Stegostoma tigrinum: one gene and its partner. The protein of the gene in region 2 purifies or fractionates together with the protein of the main gene of each other region. This does not show direct contact. Links are inferred from orthologs where the notes say so. Each region holds a gene or a part of one and is shown on either strand. Other genes may lie near its edges.

Region 1 (8,263 bases), on a different chromosome or scaffold from region 2:
GTTTAAATTGTCACGTTAAAAAGTAATCGGAGGCAATTTTAGTGGAGGGAAGTAAGAAACTTAAAAACATATAGGACTCAACCCTATCTTCAATCTACCAATCTCAGTGAAAACATTTCCAACATCCACGGGTAGGTACTGGCTCCGAAAAGGGCACGTAAGCCTATAGTGGGCTGGCACATATGGAGTGGAGCAGGAGCAAGACATAGGATGGACATGGTTTACAACACCCAGAATATATCCTGCTTGTCAAAATAAACTCTTCTGATGAAGTCACAAGACTCAAAACATTAACACTACTTTCTTCCCACAGATGCTGCCAGATCTGTCAGGGCGTGTGGAATATACTGCTAGCAGTGGTCGTGGAGTCAGATACTTTAGAGACTTTTAAGCAACTCTTGGATAGACACCTGGAGGATAGTAAAATGCGGAGTATGCAAGGTAGATTGATCTTAATAGGATAATAGGTTGGCACAACATCTTGTGCCAAAGGGCCTGTATTGTGCTATAGTGTTCTATTTTCTACATTTATGATCTGCTGAGTTTCTCCAGTAATTCCTGTTCTTGTTTTAAAACAAATGGTTACATGGATTTAGGACCTGCTCCAAGACAATAGAAACTCATGTGCTGGAAGTCCATTCGAAAGCAGAGCACGAGTATGGTGAGCTAGGCACGAGGCAGTCACTTCAGAGTGCTGGTGCTGCCCAGGCACAGAACCTGGGGGAATGAACAACATTTGCACTCTCCTCTGCTGGGTCCTCATCATGAAGAAGCATTTGTAAAAATAAACTTAAAAAGAGAGAAACAAAGTAGAGAATTTAAGGAGGTATAGCCAATGTTGGAGGTCCTGGCAGTTGATAGTTAAGTCATAGCTGATCTGAATTGGCAACATTGGTATAAGGATATCTCAAAGCGTTGCATGCTTACAGGAAGTAACAGACATAAGGAGGTATAGGTTTATGTTGGAATTTGAAACTAAGAATGAGAACTTTAGGAAGAATGATGTTGTCTAGCTGAAAGCCAATGCTGGTCAGTGATCACAGAGGTGATTGTGAACAGGACACAGCGCAAGTTAGGTTATAGAAAGCAGAGTTTTGGATGAGATCAAGGCTACATTGCTCTGAACAAATTATCCTGTGTAAAATGAATAGGCATGGCATTTCAAGATACCCGAAGAAAATAACAAAACCAGAAAATGCTGGAAATACATAGTGGGTGCAACAGCATATGAAAAAAGTGGGAGGAAGATTTAATTTTAACATGCACACCCTTTGCCAAATAGAAGTACATACTAGGTGTTGAACTCTTTCATCTTTGTTAGACATAGATATACTGGTCTATGTCCAGAATTTTCACTTTCAACTTGAATTTAATTTCAACTCTAATCGAGCAGTTATACTTGAATACCACAAACAATATTTTTTACGTCAAACAAAAACTTGAAAATAAACTATCTTCTAATTACTAACCTCTAACTGAATAAAATAGTTTTCTGATGCAGCAAATAGTCCAGTCAGCTTCATAATGAAGGAGAGGATGTTAGGGTGAATATCCTTCTGTTTGGATACATTTACAATTATGTTTGTCAGACACGGGATTCTCTGTAGAATATGGAGTTCTGTTTCTGAAGGGAACACAGAAAAGTAAAAGTGAATAAAGTTTTACACAAATTTACTATTCAATTTTAACACTGTAGTTTATAATGTTCCTTTATTTAACATAGGTGTCAGTATTTTCTCCTTCACCTGATGGTATTGTCTTCCTGCAAAGGTCAAGGACAATGATTGCTCACTGGTACAGTGTGAGGTCATATTCACTGTGTCAGCATACTGTTTAATCAGTGGGATAGCTTAGCCAAGATCAATTCTGTATCCAGTCAAATATCCAAAATTGAGCTTTTTAACAGGAATCATTGGTTAACAATCAGTAGTCAGAACTCTACCCAGTCTTCTTCCCTCTGAGGCCAGTTTTAGCGCTATTCTCATTGTGGACTTCTGATTAATCACAGACTGAGGATCACACTCAAGGCATAGTCTTATGTTTTGGTTTCTGTACCTTAAATGAGTTAGAACAATAGTGCAATTTGGAGGTGACAAATGTAATTACATCAACAATATTATAACGCATTAAATTCCCTGGATAACAAAAACTAGGGCAACCAGGCAAATGGATAGGAATGCCAGATGAAACTGAGTAATGCAGACCACATGAACAGAAATCCAAATTTGATGGTTAAAAGAAAGCAGCCAATGTTCAATCCAGACACATAGACATGTTATTTAGACATGAATGGGTCAACCAACTTTTCTGAAAAATAATCTATTTCACCTTAACTTACCATGTCAACCTAGGCACAATTTCTTCAAAATTTGAAGGCTTATTTGAAAATTTCATGGGACGGTTGATGTGGGAGATAAAAAACCTCATTGGTGGCAAAGTATTTTTGCAACAGAATTGATATAATAGCTTTAATATCACAAACTGTAACAAAGGCCAGTACTAGATTACATTAATGTGTAGAAAAAAAATAAATTATACAAATAAAACTCATTTCATACTTGATACTGGTTGTATTAATCATGACTTCAAATTAAGTGAGTATCCAGTTACCATTTTCTGTTGTTCCTCGGAAGCAATCAAGCAGCTTCTCCAAACAGGTATCATCAACAACCGTTTGCCCGGCATCTCCTAAAACTGAGAAAACACGGGGCAACAACTCCACACACTCACTTTCCATTTTCCAATTATATGATAAATTCTCTGATGGGAGGGAAAAAAAACAAAATACAAATCTTCATGCTCTTGTATATTATGCAAAATACCTTCTGAAGAACATTGCCAAAAGTTTTAAATTTGCTACAATTGGCAAGTAGTTCCTCACTATCTTAACACTACCAAAAGATACTTATATTCTCCAAGATGCTCCCATACAAAGCAATTCAACAAATACAACTTGATATTTCATCCCATCTTCAGAAGTATGACTTATCAACATTTTTTAAAGTAATTATGATTAATTGTTCATGTGTATTGTGCTGAATATCAAAATAATGGTTTTTTGGAACAGATGTGTTTAAGTCTGGTTTCTCCTTTTCGTTATAACAACTTGCATTCATTCATAAAATATTATGAATAAAAGTAATGCACACACTGAAAATCTGAAATGAAAACAAAAACAGCTTGAAATACTCAACTGTGTGGCACTGGAGAGTGAAACGGAATTAATATTTCACGTCAACGACTCAGTTCTGAATAATCATAGATCGGAAACACTGTCAACTCCACTTCATTTGCTAAAAAAGCGGCCAGCCTTGCTGAATAATTCCAGCTTTTTCTGTTTTTAGTAGTTTATATTTATACCTTGATAGGAAAGAATATATCAGAAGCAAACATATCTAGTGAACTCTGCTAAAATTTGAAAATGATCAACATTAATACTCTTAGCTTCAGAGTTACTTCTGCTTAGTAAGGGCAGATGTTGGATACACAGGAAAGGTTGTAGACTCTAGAGTTCTTTATTAAGACAGACTTAGGAAAAACAAAGACAATAAATCAGCAAAAAGGGCGATGGAGAGGTCAGTTCTCGATGAGGCAAAGCCAGGGAATTACATTTCAGAAGGGGTGTAGGTAAGACAGGAATACAAGTTGTCAATATTTTAGAGTAGGAACAATGTGTCTTGTGATAGGCCAGATGTAGCCCGAGGATCACCTTAACACTAAATTTAGCCCAGGCGCATGGACAAAATAAGGTAACTGTAACACTACTGTGGTTTGAGAATATCTTTGTTCCAAGCGTACAATTGTTACATTTTGTTGCAGAAGAACTTCGGTAAGTCAGATTCTAATAGATATGCATTTTTTATTTTAAGACCATACGACATGAGTGGAAGTATTTTGTAAAATACCAAACACGAACTGAAAATACTCATTACAAATGATACTTTCAATCTGATCCTATTACTTTGATTGCTGACGTCTGTCTTTCTAGAAGAATTCACTCGCACCTTTCATAGAACATAGAATAGTACAGCACAGGAACGGCCCTTCAGCCCGCAATGCTGTGCCGACCATGACGCCAAGGTAAACTAATCCCTTCTGCCTGCCCTTGGTCCTTATCCCTTAATTCCTTTCCTTTGACATTAAAGAAGTTAAGGAAAGGGGAAGGCAAAATGCCAGAAACACTCAAGGTCAGGCAGCATCTGTGGGGAGAAAAATAGAATTAACATTTCACGTCAATAATGTTTTAATAAGCAAGTTTAGGTATGTTTTCGGCCTGGCATCCTAACTATAAAACAGTCAGTAATAAATCTAGTAGAGAACTCAGAAGAAACTTCCTTTCCCTGAGGGCGGATAGAATAAGTGGTTAAAGAGAATGGCATAGGTATTGAAAGGTTAAGTAAATGAGATAAAACAAAAACACCGAGAGGGTAAAACAGTGAATGGAGGAAGCTGGCGTGCAGCACTTGTACCAACCAGTTAGGTCTAATGGGCCATTTGTGAGCCGCCCATTCTAGAGGCATCCATGTCAGTGAAATAAACTACAAGGTGAGGGAAGATTAAACTGGACACTGTCCTACAATCAAAACTGGGAAAAGCGGACTCTGGCTCCACTACAACAATCGCCTTAAAATGACCTGAGGTTTTAATGTAAACAGACACCTTGCGTGAACAATCAACCCAAAGGTAGAGAGCGCGGATACGAGCACAAACCAAACGAAGCCATCGCCATGCCCTCCAGCAGACGACCTGGACTGGATCACCATTCACAGTCAGGGGGGAGCATTAGGAATGTTCCACAACAAATCCTCAACAGTAGCGGTGATTCTCACACAAAATCAGCGAATTATAGTAATAGATTTTCAAAAATATACGTATGTAAACTACCTCCGTTTAACAACCGGTAATTTCCTCCAAATCCTATCTATATGTCAGCGCTTTCGCCCCTCTGATTGCTTTGGAACAGGCGAACCGGCGGGACCGCGCATGCCTTGCACCCCCCCTTCCCCCAGAGAGGCCCGGCCGCGCACTTCCGCGCTCGCTCTTTCTTTTCCGGCCGCCCAGCGAAAGCAGGATGAAGGAGACGAGTGGGGATGGTGAGGCTCGGGAGGCTGACGATGAGTTGGCAGAGCTGGAGGAGCCCGAGGAAGGCTTCAGCGACCCTGAAGGCTTCGAGGATGACATCTCCGATGAGGGTAAAGACAATGAGTGGGGTAGCTTTCGGTATTCGCACACATGGAGGGGAACCGGTTCATATCCCCAGCCCATGTGCGTTTGGGAGTGACTGGAGCCTGAGGCCTAGGCTGGGCCTGGACCCGGATGAGCAGGCAGGTTGACTGGGTCCTGGCTGATAGAGCTGGAACACACTGACTTGGGAATGACACACATTATTAATGATCATAAATTCAGTAGTGTCTAGTGTTGTGACAAAATATTTTTTTTCCAGAAAGATAGCCTGTACAGTGAAGGGAGGTGAATCATTAAGCGACAACTGCAGTTCTTCATTTAAACTAGGGAATCCGCTTTTTCACTTGAAAGTATTTTCACACACTTTGTTTAAAATAACTTAATTAGAAATCACTAGCCTCCGTTTGATCTGTACCATTAGAAGTGTATGTCGTAGTGACGCAAATTACAGTTAAATAAGGTGCAGTATCCGGTGTTAACATTGTATGAACTACAGAGTGGTGGATGTAACTGCAACTGCACAGTTCTTCAATTCAATATCACTTTAAATGTCTTGTACTCTTGTGTAACCTATATTGAGAAGGGTGCAATGCAATATGGGATCCTTATAAATTAGATGAATATGCAATGTCTTCCATGAGATAAAAGGAAAAACATGTTCACACCAGAACCAAATCATTCTGTAAACATTACAAATGTAATTTTAGCATGGTTATAAACTGATTGCTAGCTGATTAGAAAAATCTGTAATCAAAATATTTTAAATCTGTAGTTAATCTGATCCTCCAACAATAGCAAATATTCACATTTCATGTACTACAGGCACTTTATATAAAATCAATTAATAAGATTTTGACATAAAGGTGCAAAATTAGCTCAATTGGCACATTGAGTCTGTGGTTCCATTCAGTGAGATTGTAGCTGGTCTAATAACCCTCAAATCCCCTTTCCTGCCTTTTCCCCATAAACCCTTTATTCCTTTACTGATTGATTGAAAATTTGTTGATCTCAGTCTTGAATATACCTAGCACAACCCAGCTTCTGCAGCCCTCTATGGTAAAGAATTCCACAAATTCACTATCCTTAGAGAGAGGCAACTCTGCTCCAACTCTCACCTAACTGGGTGACCCTTTACTGTAAAATTATTCTCTTTGATCCTAGACTCTTAACACAAGGGGAAGCAACATCTCCACACCTTCCTGGAAGAATCTAAGTAAAAGTCACCTTTCATTCATTTGGACTCCTGTGAGTACAGGCCCAATCTACTCGACCTTACCACATAAGACAATTCCTCTGTATCCAGGATCAACCTAATTGACCACTCCTATTTTGCCTCCGGTGTCAGTTATACTTTTCATGAGATGGGGATATCAAAACTGATTGCAGTATTCTGTAAGGATTCTGTAGTTTTAGCAAGGTTTTCCTATTTCCTGCTGAACTTTCATATGTTAGTGTTTTAGAAACCATTCGGATGCCCTCACAGACTACCAGATACCTCTGTGCTGCAGCTTTCTGCTGTCTTTCTCCATGTAAACAATATTTAGCTGTTCTGCCTTGGCCAAGTGCATAACCTTACATTTTGCCACGTTATATTTAAATTGTCAAATATTTGCCCACTTGCTACATGTCTTTGCAGACTGCCAACCTCACCACTTGCCTTCCCACCAGTTTTCTTGTGTCATTGCAAACTTGGTGATAGTATACTCACTTGCATTGTCTAAATAATTGATATATCTTCTAAATAAATGTGGCCTGAGCACTGATCCCTGTGGCACACCACTGGTTGTGGATTGCCATCCTAAACGTGCCTCCTTGTCCCAAGTCGTCTATTGTGTAGACAAGCTTGTATCTGTGCTAATATACTACTTCCAATGCCGCACGTGCTCAGAACTCTCTTCCTAACTACATTGTGTGTCCAAATGGACTGCATTGCTTCAATAGGGCAGTGCACTATTACTTTTTCATGGTGGGCAATAAATCCTGGCCCCGCCAGCATTGCCCACATCCCATGAATGAATAATAAAAAAAGTAGTCTGACATACGTCGCTTATCCAACACCTTCTAGAAATCCAAATCTTTTACATCCTCTGGTTAAATGGTCTGACCAGAAACATTAACTGTAGTTGAATATTTACTTGTGGTATTCTCCAGATAGCAGATGCACATACTGTAGGACAGTGGAGAAGTGAAAATGAGAACAATTGTTGGATCACTAAACGGATCTGACAACAGCTCTGTTTAAAGAGAAGCTGAATTAATGTTTCAGATTGATTTTTTTTTCATTGCACATGATTGTGCCAGTCTTGGCTTAGTTTAATCTGACATTTTAAGCCCAAGATTCCGTGTTTAAGTTATACGCTGTGGCTGGAGCACAAAAACAGAAATGACACTCCTGTGCAGTACTCAAAGTGCTAATTGTCATTGGTGCCATCTTGTGGAAGAGACATTAAATGAACTTCCTATGAGTCTGCATGGGTAAATCCAGAAGTTCCCATAGCACTTCTCTGAAAAAGTGTTGGACTGTGCTTTCTAATGTCCTGATCAATATTTATCCATCAATGAGCATGCCAAAAAAATACAGATTTTCTGTCTGGTGTCTATTGTATTGATCTATGTGGAAGTTTGCTGTAGGCAAGTTAGCTGCTGTGTTCTGAAGTTAGATTATGACTACTCGTCCAAAGTATTTCATTGGTTGTGAAGTAGTCATCAAAATATATGCAAATGTATGTCCTTTATTTTCAATTTCCTGCACTCCTATTTTGTTATGCGAAATAAAATTTTCATGTGAGGGCACCAGTTATATTTTATTCAGAGATAGTGGGAACTGCCGATGCTTTAGAATCTGGGATAACAAGGTGTAGAGCCGGATGAACACAGCAGGCCGAGTAGGAGAGCTGACGTTTTGGCTCTGGACCCTTTTTCAGAAATGGGGGAGGGTAAGGGGATTCTGAAATAAAGGGGTTGGGTGGATGGAAGATGGATAAAGGAATAGATAGGTGGAGAGGAGACAGACAGGTCAAAGTGGCGGGGATGTCACCTTTACTGGCTCCATCCCCGCCTCTTTGACCTGTCTGTCCCC
Region 2 (7,178 bases):
ACTAAATAGTGGAGATTTGTACGATGTAGCCTGGTTCATTTAACAGAAAAGAATGGAGGAAACAACATTCTGAAGATATTTACCTACAACATTTAATAATAACTCCTATCCGCAGGATTAGAGAAAACAAATTTAGTGAAGATATTTAGACCTTCCTTATTCAAGGATGACAAATGGAGGGAAATAACTCAGGCAAGAGGATGACCAAGGTCTTCGAAAGTTAGATGAAGTGATTTGGCTATGAAGGAAGCTGCTTTATTGGAATTATTGACTTACTTACTATTAAGGCATTTTATGAACATTAATGTACCTCCAACACACTGTTGTGTTAGTAACATAACTATTTTGACTTTTTTTGAAAACTGCATAATATAAACAAGTTGGTAATTTTCTTTTTACATTGAAAGAGACTCAGATGGTATGAACTCAAGTTAAATTACATACTCACAACTGCAATCTGAGAGACGATCGCTCACCATCACAAGCTTTCAGCAACTTCTCACACAAGTTTTCAGTCAGTGCTTCCTGCTTTTCAGTCTCCAGAATTAGGAGAAGTGACACAATGCTGTTCATCACACTTTCCACATCTGCATAAAGAAACAAAAAAATATTAAACAGGGTAGCAACAAGTTCAACGGACCTAACTCTCAGGCATGCATAACACTTCAGCCTGTCTCAAATGTTTCATCAAGGCCCTTTGCACAAATCATTGGTTAAAATCAAGGTCCTTAAACAGAACTGGCAGTAACTTTAAAGTGAGCCAGATGATTAGTGAGCAGACAAACCTTTGTCATCTTCCTTGAAACATACGTCACAGACTTCAATGATGTGTGCCAAGTCAACGTGTAGCCCACCTTCAGAGTTTTCTTCTGAAATTTCAGCTCCTTTTGACTTCAGGTAGGATCGAAGCTCAGAGGCCTAGGAAAATTTATGTAGGCTTTGAATTTTTTTTTCCAGAAACCCACAACCTCCTCATATTTTACATTGTGAAAGTAAGGAAACTTTTCACACAGATTCAGCTCGAGAGTGTCTGATGCATCTATAACCAATTGGTTCTGTAATGACAAACCTGAACTAACTTCAGCATCAGCAATTCATATGTCATTAAGTTAATTAGAGACCGAAATATACAAATCAATGGTCTCTCAGGGAGCATTCCTTTCAAAAAAAAGGCACAGAGTTGGAGTCCTTCTCCCTCGCAAAGGGCAAAACATCACGATATTGCAAAGTGAAGAGACATTGGAATACCAAGGCCACAAAGATACTGCAGTACTCATTGCTGCAGATGATCCACAGCCCTAACCAACCATGGTCTCAAATTACAACACACCTCCACAAGGACACTAAAAACTTTAAACTGGATAATCTTTCATCTTCATTTCACACTGGATACTATCAATTTTTTTTTATTTCATGTAAATGTTTGTGTGCGCAATTGATGTTGCGTCTGTGTTTTTGTCAGGACTATAAGTAATAAAATTGCTCTTCCAGTCACTCAAGAAACCACTGTAATTGGCTTCTTACTTGTTTCTGGTGAACTGGCTAACTATATTTTGAACGATCAGAGATAATGGAAACTGCAGATGCTGGAGAATCCAAGATAACAAAGTGTGGAGCTGGATGAACACAGCAGGCCAAGCAGCATCTCAGGAGCACAAAAGCTGATGTTTCGGGCCTAGACCCTTCATCAGAGAGGGGGATGGGGAGAGGGTTCTGAAATAAATAGGGATAGAGGGGGAGGCAGACCGAAGATGGATAGAGGAGAAGATAGGTGGAGAGGACAGTGTAGGTGGGGAGGTAGGGAGGAGATAGGTCAGTCTGGGGAGGACTGACAGGTCAAGGAGGCGGGATGAGGTTGGTAGGTGGGAAATGGAGGAGCGGATTGAGGTGGGAGGAGGGGAGAGATGAGGGGAAGAACAGGTTAGGGAGGAGGGGATGAGCTGGGCTGGTTTTGGGATGCAGTGGGGGAGGGGGAGATTTTGAAGTTTGTGAAGTCCACATTAATACCATTGGGCATATGGAAACAGAGCAAACACATAGGTTTAGAATTTGTATCCTGGTGAAACATAGAAGTCTTCAGTTTGTTAGGCCAAACTGCCCCTTATGTCAACAGGCACAAAAGCACAGAAAACAATTTTGAACGACTGTTGTGCAATAACAACAAAAACAGAGGTTGCTGGAAAAGGTCAACAAGTCCGGTAGCATCTGTGGATTAAAAACTCAAGAGTTAACGTTTCGGATCTGGTGATCCTTCCTGAGAACCCAATTATTTATGGCATGCGCTTTCGGTTTTTATGTTATACCACAACAGTGGCCATATGACAGAATGGGCAGAAGTAGCACATTCAGTCCATCCATCGAGTCTGCCCGAACGAAACATCAGCTAACCTAATCAACTCAACTCCCGCCTTATCCCCATAACCCTTGATTCGCTTACTGATCAAAAAACTCCAGCCCTGGTTTGAATACCGCAGGCCAAGCAGCATCTTAGGAGCACAAAAGCTAACATTTCGGACTTTGTGCTCCTGAGATGCTGCTTGGCCTGCTGTGTACATCCAGCTCCACACTTTGTTATCTCGGATTCTCCAGCGTCTGCAGTTACCATTAGTCCTGGTTTGAATACCGCCCCTCCCGTTATAAAATCGCTAATTGTTCTGAAGCTCTTTGGGACGCCTGGAGGTTGTGACAGGCGCTAGAAAGATGCACATCTCCTTATGCAGAATACAACAAAGTTCAATTTCCAAGACGTGCTGGCTCTTTCGCATCGAAGTCACTTTAAGCGGCCTCAGACTTCCTCGTTTGGCCCTCTCCCCGTGTCTCCGGCCCACGAGGCTCTAGGACAAGGAAGTCTGGACGGACAGCGATGGGACACAGCCGCTCGCCGCACGAAACGGGATCGATCAGCCGGCCGCCTAGACACTGCTCACTCGGATATCACCCCAGACCACCCGCTGACCTGGTCCTCCTCAGTAATGTCGATGAAAGCCGGTACGCTCATGGCTTCCACTCCAACTGTCTCTCCACCTCCCAACTTGGCCACTTCCGGCGTGATCGCGTCACTTCTCGCCCGCCGCCTCTTAAAGGAGCCATCACTTACCTTCAAAGGGGGGCAGTCTCCCTTGTATCCTTTGTTACAGAGCAAGTGACAGTGTAACAAATGGGGGTGCGGGGGAGATATGCGACAGGAAATTCTGTTGTAAAAAAATACAAGGAAAATGTATTTCGGAAAGACGTAGATCATGCTACTTGCTCGAGAAAGTGAATTATTTTAATCTAAAGTGAAGCAAAGAACTGCTGATACACGAAATCTGAAACAAAAAAAACAGTAATTGTTGGAGAAATCTGATGTGTACCCCAGCCACGCACATGAAGAAGGGTTCCGACCTGAAACTTCCTTGCTGCTCTGATACTGTCTGACCTGCTGTGTTCCTCTAGAGTACAAGAATTAGCAGGTCATGTTGCAGTTGTATAGGACTTTAGTTCGACCACATTTGGAGTACTGTGTACAGTCCTGGTCGCCACATTACCAAAAGGATGTGGATGCTTTGGAGAGGGTGCAGAGGAGGTTCACCAGGATGTTGCCTGGTATGGAGGGTGCGAGCTATGAAGAGAGGTTGAGTAGATTAGGATTATTTTCATTAGAAAGACGGAGATTGAGGGGGGACCTGAATGAGGTCTGCAAAATCATGAGGGGTATAGACAGGGTGCATAGCAAAAAGCTTTTTCCCAGAGTGGGGGACTCAATTACTAGGGGTCATGAGTTCAAAGTGAGAGGAGGAAAGTTTAAGGGAGATACGCGTGGAAAGTTATTTACACAGAGGGTGTTGGGTGCCTGGAACGCGTTGCCAGCGGAGGTGGTAGATGCAGATACATGAGCGTCTTTTAAGATTATATTTGGACAGGTACATGGATGAGCAGGGAGCAAATAGACACAGACCATTAGAAAATAGATGACAGGTTAGACAGGGGATCTTGATTGGCGCAGGCTTGGAGGGCCGAAGGGCCTGTTCCTGTGCTGTAATTTTCTTTGTTCCACAGTGCATTGTTGCACACAGTGTCATTTCTGTCTTTCTTATTTGGTGTCAGTAACAGCTCAGGAAATACTTCTAAGGCAGAAGGTTTGAGTTTATATCTCACTCTAGAGACTACATCACACACAGATGCACCCACACAAACTAGGCTGCTAATTCATAGCAGAATGGCCATCCTTGGGAATTTGGCCTCAGGTTAAGGTGGCACTGTTGCGTCACAGCACCAGGGACCTGGATTTGATCCCACCTTCCGGCAACTGTGTGGAGCTTTCACATTCTCCTCCTGCAGGCTAGGTGTATCGGCCATACTAAATTGCCCGTATTGTGCAGTGACGTGCAGACCAGTGGATTAGCCATGGGAACTGCAGGCTGACAGTGATGGGGTGGGTCTGGATGGGATGCTCTTCAGAGGATCGGGGTTGACTCAATGGTTTCACACTGTAGGGACTTCACGAAGTCCTGCATCAGGCTTGAACTTCTGGATTTCTCTTGGATATTTTATTGTTCAGCAGGCACTTGTTTGGATGGATTGGAATCCAAGGCAGTAGCATCAGAATCCGGTGGCCACACTGATTACGTATCTGGTTAGCAGAATGTCACAATTGGCACCCTCTTAGTGTCTGCTGCACAAATATGTAATGTTATCAGTGAGTTTCAGTGCTGACACGATGCAAAGGATGTAGGTTATACATCCCAGCTCTGGCAGATCCTATCAAAAGGATATTCTTTTGGCTGTTCCCGATAGACAGAGTACTGACTATACTCAATTAGCCTGTGCTTGTAAAACTCAGGACATTGTCTGCTATTTTAGAGATGATATCTGATTTGATAACACGTGCTAAACAATCCTGACTGTGCTCAGAGTTACTGTAAAACCAAATTAATATTAACTGTCAGACTAGCAATATGGCATATTTATGCATGCTAGAAGTTACAGATATTTGTGAAGAGATAGAACATGCCCATGCATTGTCCCCTTTTCAACCTTTGCGGTCAGCATTCCTTAGTGCGTTCCTCATGGCAAAGTCTTGACGATTCAGAGTCAACTTGCCTGGTTTGAATTTAAACAAAAGCTTGGCAGTAACCTGTTCCTGATTCTCCATTACAGCACCTCAACCAATTGCAGCCAACTTTCCAGACCAATAGTCCCCCTCTTTTCACCTAGTATAAATCATTGTTCTGGTATTCTTGTAATTGTCTCCTAATAAATGCAACAAAAAGCTTTGACAACATTTCTCTTTTCCAACATTACATAGGTATAATCCATGCAATTTTCTGGCTGGATTTGTGCTTTGGACTGTTTAATGGCTGCTTCCAATAGAATCAAAAAGTGTATTTAATATGATATAAACACTGAGACATTCTAGCATTCTTCAACAAATTAATGATGAAACATACAATTTTAAAATTTTACCGAGAACTGAGGAAACATACTAAAGTGAGGTCGAGAAGCGATTCTGAACCAGAAAGGCCGAGAAGCTCTAAAGTGAGGTCGAGAGGCGATTCTGAACCAGAAAGGCCGAGAAGCTCTAAAGTGAGGTCGAGAAGCAATTCTGAACCATAAAGGCCGAGAAGCTGTAAAGTGAGGTCGAGAAGCGATTCTGAACCAGAAAGGCCGAGAAGCTCTAAAGTGAGGTCGAGGAGCGATTCTGAACCAGAAAGGCCGAGAAGCTCTAAAGTGAGGTTGGTTTTAGTTTCCTAGTTGCAGTCTCAGCGTTTGCAAATTTTTTTGGAATGCAACAGCTCTACTTCATAATAATAATAGCACATCTTCAAGGTACATACAATTTCAAATTCATCCATAAAGATAAAAGCAAAATAGATGGCAAGCAACAAGGAAGGAGCACTCAAAAGTCTGCACTACAGACTTTAGTTTTAAGGAAAATCTTGGAGTGGAGGGATGTGGGGAGGCAGAAGTAAAAGGGAAATCACAGTATATGGGTCCCAGGCAGCTGAAGCCATGGCCTCTACTGGCATTGGGAGTAATGCACTCTATTTCATCAAGTCCCATACTTGAAATTAAAACCTACTTTAGATTCTGGTAGTTAATCACATTGCTGTATGTAGAATCTTCATTTATTCATTCATTCTTGTATACATTCACTGCTGTATTGCCAAATAATACAACAGATGATCCAGCACAGATTCCTCACTGGCTGTAAAGCATATGGGAACATTTTGAGATTGTGAAATGTTTTATGTAAATTCAAGTTCTTTGTTTTCAATCCTATACATAAAATTAGATAGAATATACTGATCAAAAGCAGGGCAATTACCTTAACAGGTCTGTGATGAATCCTGCTTTTACCCTATTTCATCTAATCCCATAACTTGCTATTCCATACCATTATCCAACTTTATCTTAAATGCAATTGTTTTATACACCCATTATACCACCCATGTAGTAGTGGGTTATACATTCTCAACATTCTCTCGCTAAGGAAACTTTTAAATGTTGGATTTATTATTAAGTATTGCCTTATATCATAGCCAGACCCACTCTGTCCCTGTAACTTCACATAGCTAATTTGCCAAAGGGCTAAAGTTTGAAAAGTATCAAGCCAGGTGATAACTTGAAAAATTCTTAGCATGGTAATTATCAATGTCAGGTAGTGTTGGAACGCATAGAGCACAATTACAGAGCTGTTATGGTACAGAGGGAGGCCTTTCAGCCCATTGTATCTCTATGAACATTTCTCTTTGTGTGATTCTCCCAACTTCTCCTAGTAAACCCGGACAAGCTTCCTTTTTGAATGCCCCAATTGCAGAACTTTCATGCCTGGTCAAACCTAGACAGAATGTGCCAGTTGAAGCTGAATCAGTGTTTTTATACATTTTTAAATCATAATTTCTTGTTTTATTCACATTTTCCCATGGATTGTAGTGTAGCTAATATAATCCCACTGTTTGAGAAAGAAGGTAGAAAGAAAACAGAGAATTATAGACCAGTTAGCCTAACATCAATTGTAGGGAAAATTCTAGAGTCCATTATAAAAGATTTTAACAGCAGTGCGCTTGAAAAACAGTGACAGGATTGTGCAGAGTCAACATGGATGTATGAAAGGGAAATCATGCTTGACAGATCTATTGGAATTTTTCGAGGATGTGGCAGTAGAATCGATAAGGGGAGGCCAATCGATGTGGTCT

What was found.
Region 1: the proteins of eif3m (region 2) and eif3ba purify together in Homo sapiens (affinity purification with mass spectrometry; 8 studies listed by BioGRID and IntAct, counting the BioPlex papers as one, with this or other methods). This does not show direct contact. The link is inferred for Stegostoma tigrinum from reciprocal best matches to the Homo sapiens genes EIF3M and EIF3B.

The regions. Positions count from the first base shown.
Region 1 is NC_081376.1:1,082,543-1,090,805, reverse strand, and holds the start of eif3ba (eukaryotic translation initiation factor 3, subunit Ba), read left to right. Parts: upstream 1-5,037; 5' UTR 5,038-5,071; coding exon 5,072-5,192; intron 5,193-8,263. Other genes in the region: brat1 (BRCA1-associated ATM activator 1), read right to left, coding at 1,470-1,624, 2,611-2,737.
Region 2 is NC_081370.1:43,419,999-43,427,176, reverse strand, and holds the start of eif3m (eukaryotic translation initiation factor 3 subunit M), read right to left. Parts: upstream 3,082-7,178; 5' UTR 2,999-3,081; coding exon 2,957-2,998; intron 919-2,956; coding exon 786-918; intron 588-785; coding exon 449-587; intron 1-448. UniProt on the Homo sapiens protein: Component of the eukaryotic translation initiation factor 3 (eIF-3) complex, which is required for several steps in the initiation of protein synthesis.